Macaca fascicularis: one gene and its partners. The protein of the gene in region 2 interacts with the protein of the main gene of each other region in a pairwise test. Links are inferred from orthologs where the notes say so. Each region holds a gene or a part of one and is shown on either strand. Other genes may lie near its edges.

Evidence for each region.
Region 1: the proteins of METTL21A (region 2) and FAM200C interact in binary tests that used the Homo sapiens proteins (3 or more experiments, as listed by UniProt). The two-hybrid records come from large-scale screens. The link is inferred for Macaca fascicularis from reciprocal best matches to the Homo sapiens genes METTL21A and FAM200C.
Region 3: the proteins of METTL21A (region 2) and LNX1 interact in binary tests that used the Homo sapiens proteins (3 or more experiments, as listed by UniProt). The link is inferred for Macaca fascicularis from reciprocal best matches to the Homo sapiens genes METTL21A and LNX1.

The regions. Positions count from the first base shown.
Region 1 is NC_088380.1:167,167,861-167,172,145, reverse strand, and holds the start of FAM200C (protein FAM200C), read left to right. Parts: upstream 1-1,429; 5' UTR 1,430-1,840; intron 1,841-4,285.
Region 2 is NC_088386.1:103,574,373-103,578,798, reverse strand, and holds the start of METTL21A (protein N-lysine methyltransferase METTL21A), read left to right. Parts: upstream 1-1,614; 5' UTR 1,615-1,810; coding exon 1,811-1,868; exon of another isoform or gene 1,869-2,083; intron 2,084-2,518; coding exon 2,519-2,694; intron 2,695-4,426. UniProt on the Homo sapiens protein: Protein-lysine methyltransferase that selectively trimethylates residues in heat shock protein 70 (HSP70) family members. Contributes to the in vivo trimethylation of Lys residues in HSPA1 and HSPA8.
Region 3 is NC_088379.1:80,430,892-80,434,538, forward strand, and holds part of LNX1 (E3 ubiquitin-protein ligase LNX), read left to right. Parts: intron 1-1,695; coding exon 1,696-1,827; intron 1,828-3,647.

The DNA of each region.
Region 1 (4,285 bases), on a different chromosome or scaffold from region 2:
GATTTAGGAAGAATTCTATAATATCCAGAATCATGTCTTCTGTTTTATTTTCGAAAAGTAATGCCCAGCCAGCCTGGCCAACATAGCGGAACCCCATCTCTATTAAAAATACAAAAATTAGTTGGGCATGGTGGCACACACCTATAATCCCAGCTACTCAGGAGGCTGAGGCATGAGAATTGCTTGAACCCGGGAGGTGGAGGTTGCAGTGAGCAGAGATTGCACCACTGCACTCCAGCCTGGGCAACAGAATGAGACCCTGTCTCAAAATCGTAATGCCTAGGACATTATTCAGATTGAGCTTTGATTTTATTATCTCAATAATAGCTGCCTTTTCGAGAATTATGTACTGTAATTGTCATAATGTTACCTCCTTCCTCAAAAGAACTTCATGGGGTAATGGATGATCTATCAATTTTACAAAAAGCACATGGAATTAACTCCAAGTAATCTGCACAAATCCTAACCGTTGTAAGTATTGGAGTCAGGACATGAAGCTAGCTGTCTCGGATTCTGAAGCCTATCCCCTTCTCTAGTATTTAAGGCCCTAGTTTCTTGACCAACAAGGCTGGTCTTATAGCAGTTTCTTGCATCCACAAAAACTTATGCAGCCCCTCAATATTTACCAGGCTCACCCTCAGCACCTGAAAATGATGTATCTGGCCCACGTTCTTTGACGCCCCACCACTCCTCACACACACTAGCCTTATAGAATGCTTCTAACAATATTGTACAAAAATGAGTAAACTCATTTAAGTTTATAAGAATTCTGGAAAGACCCCCAAACAGGAAAGGGCTATATTCCGGTTTACTTCTTTCAACAACGTTTCCTAGTCTCTACTTGGGATTTTTCCCTAAAACCTCTCTAATATGGGTTTATTTCTTTGAAATCATGTTGTTGAAAGAATTTTAAATAAAAATCTTTCCTCTGAGATGGATGATGATAAGGAAATTCATCCCCATGTTCCCACTTAAGGAAAGGCGGGGGGATCACCCTGCATGGACAACAGTACACAAGCTATGGAAGCTCATCCTCCACTGCTGAAATGTCTAATCTGAGATTACAATGAGCTTCCTTCTCTTTTTCTCTCATTTATTCCACATGGAACATGGTAATTATCAAGCGTTTTATCATCTCCAAGCTCAAAGCCCAACACAATATAAAAGTTTCAGTGCTCTGCATGTTAAAAAGAACTATGTGTAGTTTGTAGCCCCTTCCATTCCTGAAATTGTACGGTTCATCCTCTCTGGCAGACACAATAAACAAACGATTTTGTGTTCCACGTACACAACCTCAAAGAAAGGGGGAGGGCCAGCGCGCATGCTCAGTACTCAAGCCCGCCAGCCCATCCCACAGCCCTTTGCTACTGCGCCTGCGTGTGGGAGACGCCTCGCCCAGTTTACGGGCGGGAAGCACCCTGGAGAACCCGGATGGAACTCGGGCCTGGCTGAGGCGGAGGTTGTTGCGGATGCTCGTCTCTGCAGGCGCACCGCAGATTCCTGCTGGGGGGTCAGACCTGAGGAATCGCCGTCTCTACTGGTTCTGACGGCCAGAGGCTGGACCCTAGGCTGAGCGGAGAGCGGAACTGGAGCCTGAAACAGGCGCCTAAAAGAAGCCCGAGCATCCCATGGGCCTGCGCCTCAGGCTCGGAGACGGGCGGGCGGAGACAGCACTGAGTCTTTTTCTTTTTTTTTTTTCCTAGCCGCTGGCGTTCCTATCTCACCCTGGAGGGTGTAAAAATCTCCGTCCTTAACAGTAACACCATCAGGTCCTATCAATTAAGAGCTGCTTGTTATTTGCATGCATTCTTATAATTAAACCTCCCAACAACCCCGTAAGGTAGGTACTGTTATCCCCTCTGGAGGAACTGAAGCTTGGAAAGGTCCCAGCCTGTAAGTGACAAAGCCACGATCCCAGGCGTTTGCCCCTGGAGCGTCTGCCCAGCCACCAAGTTCCTGCCCCCTTTCTCCTGGCTATTAATTTTAACTGCAAAATGTAATGCTTAAATGCTCTGCCTCCCCAAACACCTGCGCCTACCATGATCTTGCATACTCAGTGGCTGGATAGAAGTTGAATTGTATTTGGTTTGGAGTTTCAGGTTTACAACTGCACTTTGGTGTTTTCACTGCTGGAATGAATATATATATATGTGTGTGTGTGTGTGTGTGTGTGTATTAGCATTCCCTAAATGTTTTGTGAGTGTTCACTTTTAACTGATTTTTCTCAATTGTAATACTTTTTCATATCTACCCTTCATAAACTTGCCAAAACATTTTACTTTGTGATATCAGATCTTTCATTAAGCCTCTGAAGATAATCTCTCAAAAGAATCATTCTTAAAATGAGTGATATCTATCTATCTTAAGATAATGCTTTTTTTATTATGGAAAGTTTCCGAAATACATAAAAATCGAATGGTGTAATGATGTGTACCCATCATCCAGCTTCAAGAGTTACCAACTTAAGGCCAGTCATTTCTTTTATCTCCACCCCGCTTTGTGCATGTTTGTGAGTGTGCTGAAGTATAGTATTTCAAAGGAATCCCAGACATCTTATTTCACTTGTAAGTAATCGTGTCGAACACATGAGGACTTTTTAAAAACACAACCACAATACCATTATCATGCCTGTTTAACAATATCTCATTATGATGATGATGCTTTTTAATGTTTACATTTTTTAGGATATTGTAATTCCTAAATACCACAAAAAGCGCAAGTACAAATTGTGAGATTCTAAAACAAGCCTCTTGGGCAGTAAGTTCATCTTTGAGGCTCTGGAAAATTCTTGCCACTTATTCTCCCTTTTTCAGGGGGATGGAGAAGAATACCATAAATTGATTTTCCTAAAACTTTTGTTCAAAACAGATAAATTTTAAATTAAAATATACTTGAGAGACATAGTCAAGGTGGATAGGAAATGGCCTCTTAACAGATCTTGTAATGATTTCTGGTTTGTTCTGTTTTGTTTTTGAGACAGTCTCACTCTCACCCAGTCTGGAGAGTGCGGTGGCGTCATCTCAGCACACTGCAACCTCTGCCTCCCAGATCAAGCGATTCTCCTGCGTCAGCCTCTCCAGTAGCTGGGAGTACAGGCACCCACCACCATGCACAGCTAATTTTTGTATTTTTAGTAGACGAGTTTTCACCAAGTTGGCCAGGCCAGTCTTGAACTCCTGAGATCAGGTGACCCGCCCTCCTCAGCCTCCCAAAGTGCTGGAATTATGGACATGAGCCACCATGCCCAGCCTTTTTTTTGAGACAGAGTCTGGCTGTCCTTAGGCTGGAGTGCAGTGGCGTGATCTCAGCTCACTGCAACCTCTGCCCCCTGGGTTCAAGCGATTCTCCTGCCTCAGCCTCCCAAGTAGCTGGGATTACAGGCATGCGCCACCACACCCAGCTAATTTTTGTATTTTTATTAGAGACAGAGTTTCACTATGTTGGCCAGGCTGGTCTGGAACTCCTGACCTCAAGTGATCCACCCACCTTGGCCTCCCAAAGTGCTGAGATTACAGGCATGAGTCACCACACCAGGCCCCTCTTGTAAAGATTTCTAATGTGACTAAAAACATTTTCCTCTATTCCCTCTGCCTCCCCAAATATTACATGATAAATATACATTAATAGAATACAGAAAAATAAGCATTTTATGGTAATGTCATAATTTTATTGTCATTAATTAGAAGTGGTTCTAAGCAAAAGTAGTCATGTAGTCTCATTACTTGACAAATGAAGGCTTAAGATCAGCTCTTTAAACTTCGGGTTGTCTTTTTTGATTGGCAGATATCCTCCAGTTTAACAGGCTCATAACAACCGTGTAACAGATCAACTTATTTTATTGGAGTACACTTTACAACTAGTTCATCTTGGTAGATCCACTTGAAAGCTAATGCTTTAAGTAGATATTCTTGGCTTGTGATTTTTCTTTTAATGGCCAAAGTGGGCATTCGGATTTAAATGTATACCTGTTACTTTATTTCAGCCACATTCTCTGGCACAGAACTTCGGAAACTTTGGGGATCACTTATTTATCTTGGAGATAGAATGTTTTCTAAGGTCTATTTGAGCCTACCTGTGGATTATGCCTTTACTCATTGCTAAAGAGACAGAAAGAGAAAAGACATGGTTTTCATTTTAGGTTTCAACTTTCATAGGAGGATGTCATCAGCTCAGAAAACGTAGAAAATTTAAATATCTATTCAAGCATTGGGACCATTCACTTAGACACCTAGAATATTTGTTAGCTAAGGATTGGTTTGAAGGATATGTTTTCATTCCCCTAAAT
Region 2 (4,426 bases):
CGGGCCCCGGGGGAGCTCTTAAAAATATCTGCGCTCCGGGCGGTAGGGGTTGGGGAGGTGGCGGTGGCTCACGCCTGTAATCCCAGCACTTTGGGAGGCCGAGAAGACCGTATCACTGGAGGTCGAGAGTTTGAGGCCCGTCTGGGCAACATGGTGAAACCCCGTCTCTACTAAAAATACAAAAAAAAGCCAATTAGCCGGCCGTGGTGGCGGGCGCCTGTAATCCCAGCTACTTCGGAGGCTGAGGCAGGAGAACTGCTTGAACCCGGGAGGTGGAGGTTTCAGTGAGCCGAGATCGCGCCACTGCACTCCAGCCTGGGCGACAGAGCAAGACTCCGTCTCAAACAAACAAACAAACAAACAAAAAATCCCACAAAAATTTCTGGTGTAGGCCATTTATCCCAGCTACTCGGGAGACTGAGGCAGGAGAATCGCTTGAACCCGGAAGGCGGAGAATGCAGTGAGCCGAGATCGCGCCCTTGCACTCCAGCCTGGGCGACAGAGACTCCGTCTCAAAAACAAACAAACAAACAAACAAAAAATCAGCGCTCGGGGCCCCCTTCCATGGCCGGCTCTCGGGGCCGGGTCGCGGGTAAGGGAGTTTACCCTAGCTCGCTCTAATGTGCAGCCGCGCTGAGTGCGGCGGGCGACGTGGGGCGAGGGGGCCCTGGAGGAAAAGGAAGCCTGCCTCGGGAGGATGCCGGCCCCCGCGCGGTCCCACTCAAGGGGACCCACTTCAGCCGCGCTCTCTGCCAGGGCCTGCGGCCAGGGTGCCAGGCCCTAGACACCTTCCACGTCCAGCGTGGGTCGTCACGGGTAGGTGCGCCTCGGCATCGGGAGGAGGGAGACGGGGGCACTGGAGTCTGCAGCGCCGCCCGGGGCAGGGGCTGGGACCGAGCGCGCGCCCGCAGCTCCGCGCTCCCGACTGCAGCAGGAGCCCGCCGCGTCCCCCGACCCATTTAAAAAACTTAACACTCGGGCGCCCACGTATTCACTTCCCCCACCGCGCTTTAGTTGAGAAGGGTTTTGTGACTTTTCCACTCGACTGCCGCCAACCGGGCTATTACGCCGCTTCGGACCCCATAGTGGAGACGCGGGGACCAGAGTGACCACGCATTCTTCGGAGGTAGCTTTCTTCATCACCCGCTAACCCGCCACCTTTAAAAAACAGGCACAAGGCGCAAGCGAGAAAGTCAGAGGCAGAGAGCGGCGGAGCACATGCTAGAAAGGTAAGGAGCACATTCAGCACCAGGTAGGTGGCTTTTCCCTCCGGCTGGGAGAGCCCTGGGCACCCCACGCTCTCCCTGCGCACCCGCGGCTGCTCGGCACCCCGGTCTCGCTCTCGCTCCTGCCCCCACAGCGCTTCCCTCGGCGGCCGGGGAAACGGATTAGGTCGTCCGTGTACTTGGGGATGCACGCGGGAAAACCCCGGTCCCCCCTTCCCGCAACGTCACTCCTCCTCCGCGCCACGGCCCGGCTCCGCCCTAGGCTCCGGGGACACCTGCAGGGGGCGGGGTGCCGGGAGACCGGAAACGCGTGGCTCCGGGCCGGGGCGGCCAGCCTCCGCCTCCACCTCGCGGGCTCTTTAAGGCCGGCGGTTTCCGCAGCCAGTCCGGGGCGGGGAAAGCTGAGCGCGCGGGCCCCACTCGGGGCCGCCTCCCGAGCCGTAAGTACCGGCGTGGCGACGCCTCCGCCCGGCCTGGGCGAGTCCTGGGCGCTCCGCCGGGAAGCTCACGGCGCCCCGCATGGCCGGGGGGTCCTGAGAGGCCCTGTGCCCCCCTCGCCTGGTCTCCCTCTCACCCCTGAGGGGATGCCGCAGCTCCGGGGCCCGCGGGCAGGAAGGGCGCACTGGTCGGCCCGGGAGAGGGGTGAGTGGGGGGCAGCTCTAGGGGGACCTCGGGGAGGCCTCCGAGCTCCTGCTGTCCCCGTGAGCCACTCGGAGGCCCCCAGTGTCGCTCCAGTCCCGGGAGGACGGAACTGCGGCGACCGTATATTTCTGGCTTATCAAAACGCTAACACCCAGTTTAAGGGCAGGTTCGGTCCCATTGTTATCACTATTGAAGCAGCCGATGGAGGAGGGGAGGTAGGTGGCGAAACCGTAACAAAAGAACCCGGGCCGCCCGGCTGGCTGCAGCTGCAGTCCCGACTCCCGGGTCTGGATTGGAAGCGCTGCTTTCTCCGCTGCCCTGGGGCCCTGGGCGGTCACCGCCAGTTCCACCGCCTGTGCAGCTCTGAATTCACGGAGTGGTAGCAGTGCAATGTGTAGGGTATTCTGCGGAAGTTGGAATGTTCTGGGCTTTTTTTTTTTTCCTTCCCCGAAGACATCCGTTGACACAAATGCCGAGCCAAATCTCACTCAGGTTCGAAAGAGCCATGCAAAAGAAATTGGACAAAGGCTTCCTTCACCTGTTTCTTTTTTTTCTTTTGAACTTGTAAAACAACCGTAAAAGCATTTGGAGTTAGTTAAGAGATAATGTATCTTGGCCAGAGCGTCACCCAGGATTCTTTTGCACGACAGGTCTGAGCAGAGGGCAGGGTGCAGGCGGAATGGCCCTGGTGCCCTATGAGGAGACCACGGAATTGGGGCTGCAGAAATTCCACAAGCCTCTTGCAACCTTTTCCTTTGCAAACCACACGATCCAGATCCGGCAGGACTGGAGACACCTGGGAGTCGCAGCGGTGGTTTGGGATGCGGTAAGTAAGCCCTGTGGGACCTCTGAAAACGTCCACACTTGCTTGTAAGACTGACTTTTAAAATTATTTTTAAAACAGCCTTATTGAGATGTAATTCACATACCATACACTTCACCTTTTTTTTTTTTTTTTTTTTTTTTTTGAGACAGAGTCTCGAGTCTCGCTCTGTCGCCCAGGCTGGAGTGCAGTGGCGCGATCTTGGCTCACTGCAAGCTCCGCCTTCCGGGTTCATGCCATTCTCTTGCCTCAGTCTCCTGAGTAGCTGGGACTACAGGCGCCCGCCACCACGCCAGGCTAATTTTTTGTATTTTTTTTTTTTTTTAGTAGAGACAGGATTTCACCGTGTTGGCCAAGATGGTCTCGATCTTTTGACCTCGTGATCCGCCCGCCTCGGCCTCCCAAAGTGCTGGGATTACAGGCGTGAGCCACCGCGCCCGGCCAGCTTCACCTATTTAAAGTGCACAATTCAGTGCGGTTTTAAAAATTTAGCATATTCCCAGAGTAGTGCAACTATCACCGCTTCAATTTTAAAACAGTTTTACTATGACTGCCATTCCAAACCGGTATCCCTTACGTCACTCCTCTTGTCCCCCCACATAGATTACATTTTTAAGGTGAGTAAATGAAAGCTGAGGAAAGTTAATGACTTGCCAGTAATTACCCACTGGGTAAGAGAGGATCGGAAGGAAAGCTCCCAACTGCTTTGGACACGAATTATCTCTCTCTCTCTCTCTTTTTTTTTTTGAGACGTAATCTCTCTGTGTTGCCCAGGTTGGAGTGTAGTGGCGCAATCCCGGCTCACAGCAGCCTCCCCTTTCTGGGGTCAAGTGATTCTCACACCTCAGCCTCTGGAGTAGCTGGGGCTACAGGTATGCGCCACCACACCCGGCTAATTTTTGTATTTTTTGGTAGAGATGGGGTTTCGACATGTTGGCCAGGCTGGTCTGGAACTCCTGACCTCAAGTGATCTGCCCGCCTCAGCCTCCCAAAGTATTGGGATTACAGGCGTGAGCCACTGCCCCGGCCGAGTTAGTCTCTTTATTCACAGAGTATTGTAAAGTGGCAGAGCCCAAAATGAAGATTATGTGTTTTAAGTTTTCCATAGTTATAATCGTTAAAAAATTGTAACTGCTTTTTCACTTCTTCCTCTCGCAGCAATGTTCTGACTTGTGCCCCTAGCATCTAGCCCAAACCTAGGACTCAGTGGGAACTCAATGTTGAATGCATGATTGGCATAAATATAGTTTGACAGTTTTAACATTGTTAGGGATGTTAAACACGTAGGAATAAAAATCTCAGTATCATAGTAATACCACTTCTAGGAATCCAGTCCAGGTAATTACATGAAAATTACTCTGGTAATAATAAAGATATAGGCCTGGTGTGGTGGTTTACACCTGTAATCCCAGCACTTTGGGAGGATGAGGTAGGTGGATCACTTGAAGTCAGGAGTTCGAAACCAGCCTAGCCAACATGGTGAAACCCCATCTCTACTGAAAATGCAAAAATTAGCTGTGGTGGCTGACACCTGTAGTCCTAGCTACTCGGAAGGCTGAGGCAGGAGAATCGCTTGAATCTGGCAAGCGGAGGTTGCAGGGAGCTGGGATTGCACCACTGCACTACATCCTGGGTGACAGAGTAAGCGTACATCTCAAAAAAAAAAAAAATAATAATGATGGGAAGTCTCCTAAATACCATGAGGAATTGCCAATTATACTCACAATATGTGGCT
Region 3 (3,647 bases), on a different chromosome or scaffold from region 2:
GCCACCAGAGAGCTCCATTTATATGAGTTTCATAGGTCTAAGATTCAGTCTGAATGACCTGCAGCTCTGAAATCTCAATGGTCAGCAATTCTGGAATAATGACCCATACTACCCGACACATGTGAAGCTAATCTGTGGCAGAAAGACAAATTGTAAATGTATAATTGTATTAGTCTGTTCTCGTGCTGCTAATAAAGACATACCTGAGAGTGGGTAATTTATAAAGGTTTAATGAACTCACAGTTTTACATATCTGGGGAGGCCTCACAATCATGGTGGAAGAGGAGGGAAGAGCAAAGGGATATCTTACATGGTGGCAGACATGAGAGCTTGTGCAGGGGAACTCCCATTTATAAAATCATCAGATCTCATGAGACTTACTATCACTAGAGCAGCATGGGAAGGACCCACCCCCATGAATCAATTACCTCCTGCCAGGTCGCTCCGATGACATATGGGAATTATGGGAGTGATGATTCAAGGTGAGGTTTGACTGGGGACACAGTCAAACCGTATCAATCATGTGGAGTAGACCTTTCCAATAAGTACTATATTTGCTATTCTGAATGCCTGTCCAAATATCGATGTACATAGCAGAGAGAATTAGCAGTCAGAGTAAGTGGTAGTTCCATAAGAAATAAAGAATCAAGGCAAATTACTCTTTTGCAGTCTTTTAAACATTTTGTATTTCAATAGCGTTAGGGATATGCGTGGTTTTTGGTTACATGGATGCATTGTGTGGTGGTGAAGTCTGAGATTTTAGTGCACCTGTCACCTGAATAGTGTACACTGTACCCAATAGGCAGTTTTTCATCCCTCACCCCATTCACCCTCCCCTTTTCTGAGTCTCCAAAGTCCATTATATTACTCTGTATGCCTCTGCATACCCAGAGATTAGCTCCCACTTACAAGTCAGAACATGCAGTATTTGATTTTCCATTCCTGTGTTACTTCACTTTAAATAATGGCCTCCAGTTCCATCCAAGTTGCTGCAAAAGACATTTCATCCTTTTTTGTGGCTGAGTAGTATTCCATGGTATATACATACCATGTTTTCTTTATCCACCCATCAGTTGATGGGCACTTAAGTTGATTCCATGTCTTTGTGATTGTGAATTGAAGGTAAAGAATTTTGATTAGGCTGTACATATTAATGTATGAAGTCATCCCCATATTTCTAAAGTGCTAAACCTTTCCTATGCCCAAATATTTGCAAGTGTCAGACTCAGGATTTCTCTTCCTATAGTGGCAGGTTACTGCCATTAACTCTATCTCTTTTTCTTTACTGTGTACCATTGATCTCAGACCTTTGCTTTGGGCTGCTACTTTACACTGTGAACCTAATTCTTTCTAGGAAGAACTTAGGACATGGCTTGTGTGTGGTAGAACCATTAATTAAAAACGAATTAGCAATATCTAATGATGCCTTTTCAAAGACTGGAAGGAACCAAACCTTCCTTAGATTTTCCCTTTGAGCAACGTTCACTACCTGGTTTAAGGATAAAGGAAAGAGCTCTCATGCTGTTGCCAAATTACAAGATGGGTAAATCTTAACAAAAAAACACCACAAACTAGAAACCATGTTTTGCCATAAAAAAAAAATGGTATAATCAAAGTGATGTCTTTGTAAGCCCCTGGTGCTGGATGCAGTGGATGGAAACTGACAGTGGCTAATACCTGTGTCTTCTTGCCCAGGCCAGTGAAAGACGTGTTCACCTCATCGTGTCCCGCCAGGTTCGGCGGAGCCCTGACATCTTTCAGGAAGCCAGCTGGAACAGCAATGGCAGCTGGTCCCCAGGGCCAGGGGAGAGGAGCAACACTCCCAAGGTGAGGCCTCTAGGGCAGTTCCGCTGCTCCTGCAAGGAGCTATTTCTTGGGAAGGCTGCTTGCTTTAACATTTCTAAGTGTCATCTCAGGACTTTTTTACTTAAACAGACACTTTGACTTGTAAAACTAAAAGCCCAAAGTCCCATATTTAAGACTTGAAGAGATAACAGGTGTCTCCCATCCAAGCAGGAGAGAGGAAAGTGCAGGAGGGTTTTGAAACCTGATCATGCAGACCTCATACAGGAACCTGATTTCTAGCCTAAGCCAAATACATGTCATGTTTTTACCAAGAGTCATCTTTTTTAAGGACTGTATTTTATTCACTTTGAAATGAAGCAAACACTTCGCTTGGTTTCTGGCTTTTGAATTTTTTGGTCTGCCTAGAAATCAATGATTTCCCGGCTACTTTTAGTTTTTGTTTGTGTTTGCTGAAGGGCCCAGGAAGATAATTTAAACACTTGCAGCTCATGTAACATTAGGGAGTGTTGGGGATTGGGGCAAACCAGAGAGCACATGTTATATGGCATTCAATCCAGAAAACTCTAAAACACTGCGGATCTGTGGGTGGAATTCCTTCTTCAGGCCACCAGTTTGCAGCCTCTCTTTAAATGAAGTGACGCAGCCCAATTTGTACTTCTCTCTGTGGCATCTGTTAGATGCAATGCCTTAACCTCTTCATTTAGATGCGTGTTTAAGCAACACAAACCTTGTTTAGTCCAAATTAAGCGTCCTATGACTTTAGCTTGGCATCCTGTTGTGATGCTAATGAGCTTCTTTCAGTCATTTCTCCTGAGTTCTGGTTTCATGGCATCACTTGTAACTAAAAAAAATTCTTAACGGTAGCTCATTCTTCTTGCAACAGAGAGTAGGGAATGCCCTTTTCTTTCCACGTCAATCTATATGTTGGTTGGAATAGCTTACAAATTGAGTTTTTGAGTAATACATAGAGAAACAATATCAAATTTTTTTATTTTGGAACGTCTCTGCTGTATGCTGTGTTAATTACAGAGCCTACAAGGTTATATACCCTTCCGGGTTCTCCAGCCAGCCAAGCCTCATAAATCCATAAATTACATGTTTATTTACAATAAGGAGTCTAGACAGACCAAATATATTCCACTAAAACATTTTACGGATAAGGAGACTCCCTGATGTCTTTTTGCTAGTAAATGCTTAATATTTAAATTTAACTGATCATCTTTATTAATGGAAAACTAGTTTATTAACTTAATTGAAGTTTTTATCCAATTAACTAATTTTAGTTGAATTAACTAGAATATGTCATATTCTAAGTCATCAAATTATGGAGAAGGTAGCCTCCATCTGCACTGTGGTTTTATAATTCCTTCCACCTCCTCCTCATGAAAGAGCTGGGAGGATCTGATCACATTTCTGCTGCAACCCTCTGTCATGTGTCTTAATTCCTGGAAACATACAAATTGACTTAGTGGGAATTGTAATTATTTCCATTTTAACTTATATTCTATCTGCCTTCTGAAATATCCTCACAAAAAAGTAACATATTTAAAATAAAACTAAGACATATATGATTCTTTGATGATTTCAATTTTTATATTCTTACTAAAATTTTGTTTGGTTTAGGAAACTAGGTAGCTTTTTAAAAATAAGAGCTTAAACAATTCAAAGAAATACCAAAGAAGACAAAGCAGGATTTGTGGGACAGAAAACTTTTAGCCAATTAAAAAAGTCAAGGAATGATAGGCATCAAATTTTGCATGGTTTCCCTCTGTGGGGAGGAAAGGACTATGAGCAGAAAGAGTGACAGAGGGACTAAGTGCACATGGAATGTTTATTTCTGA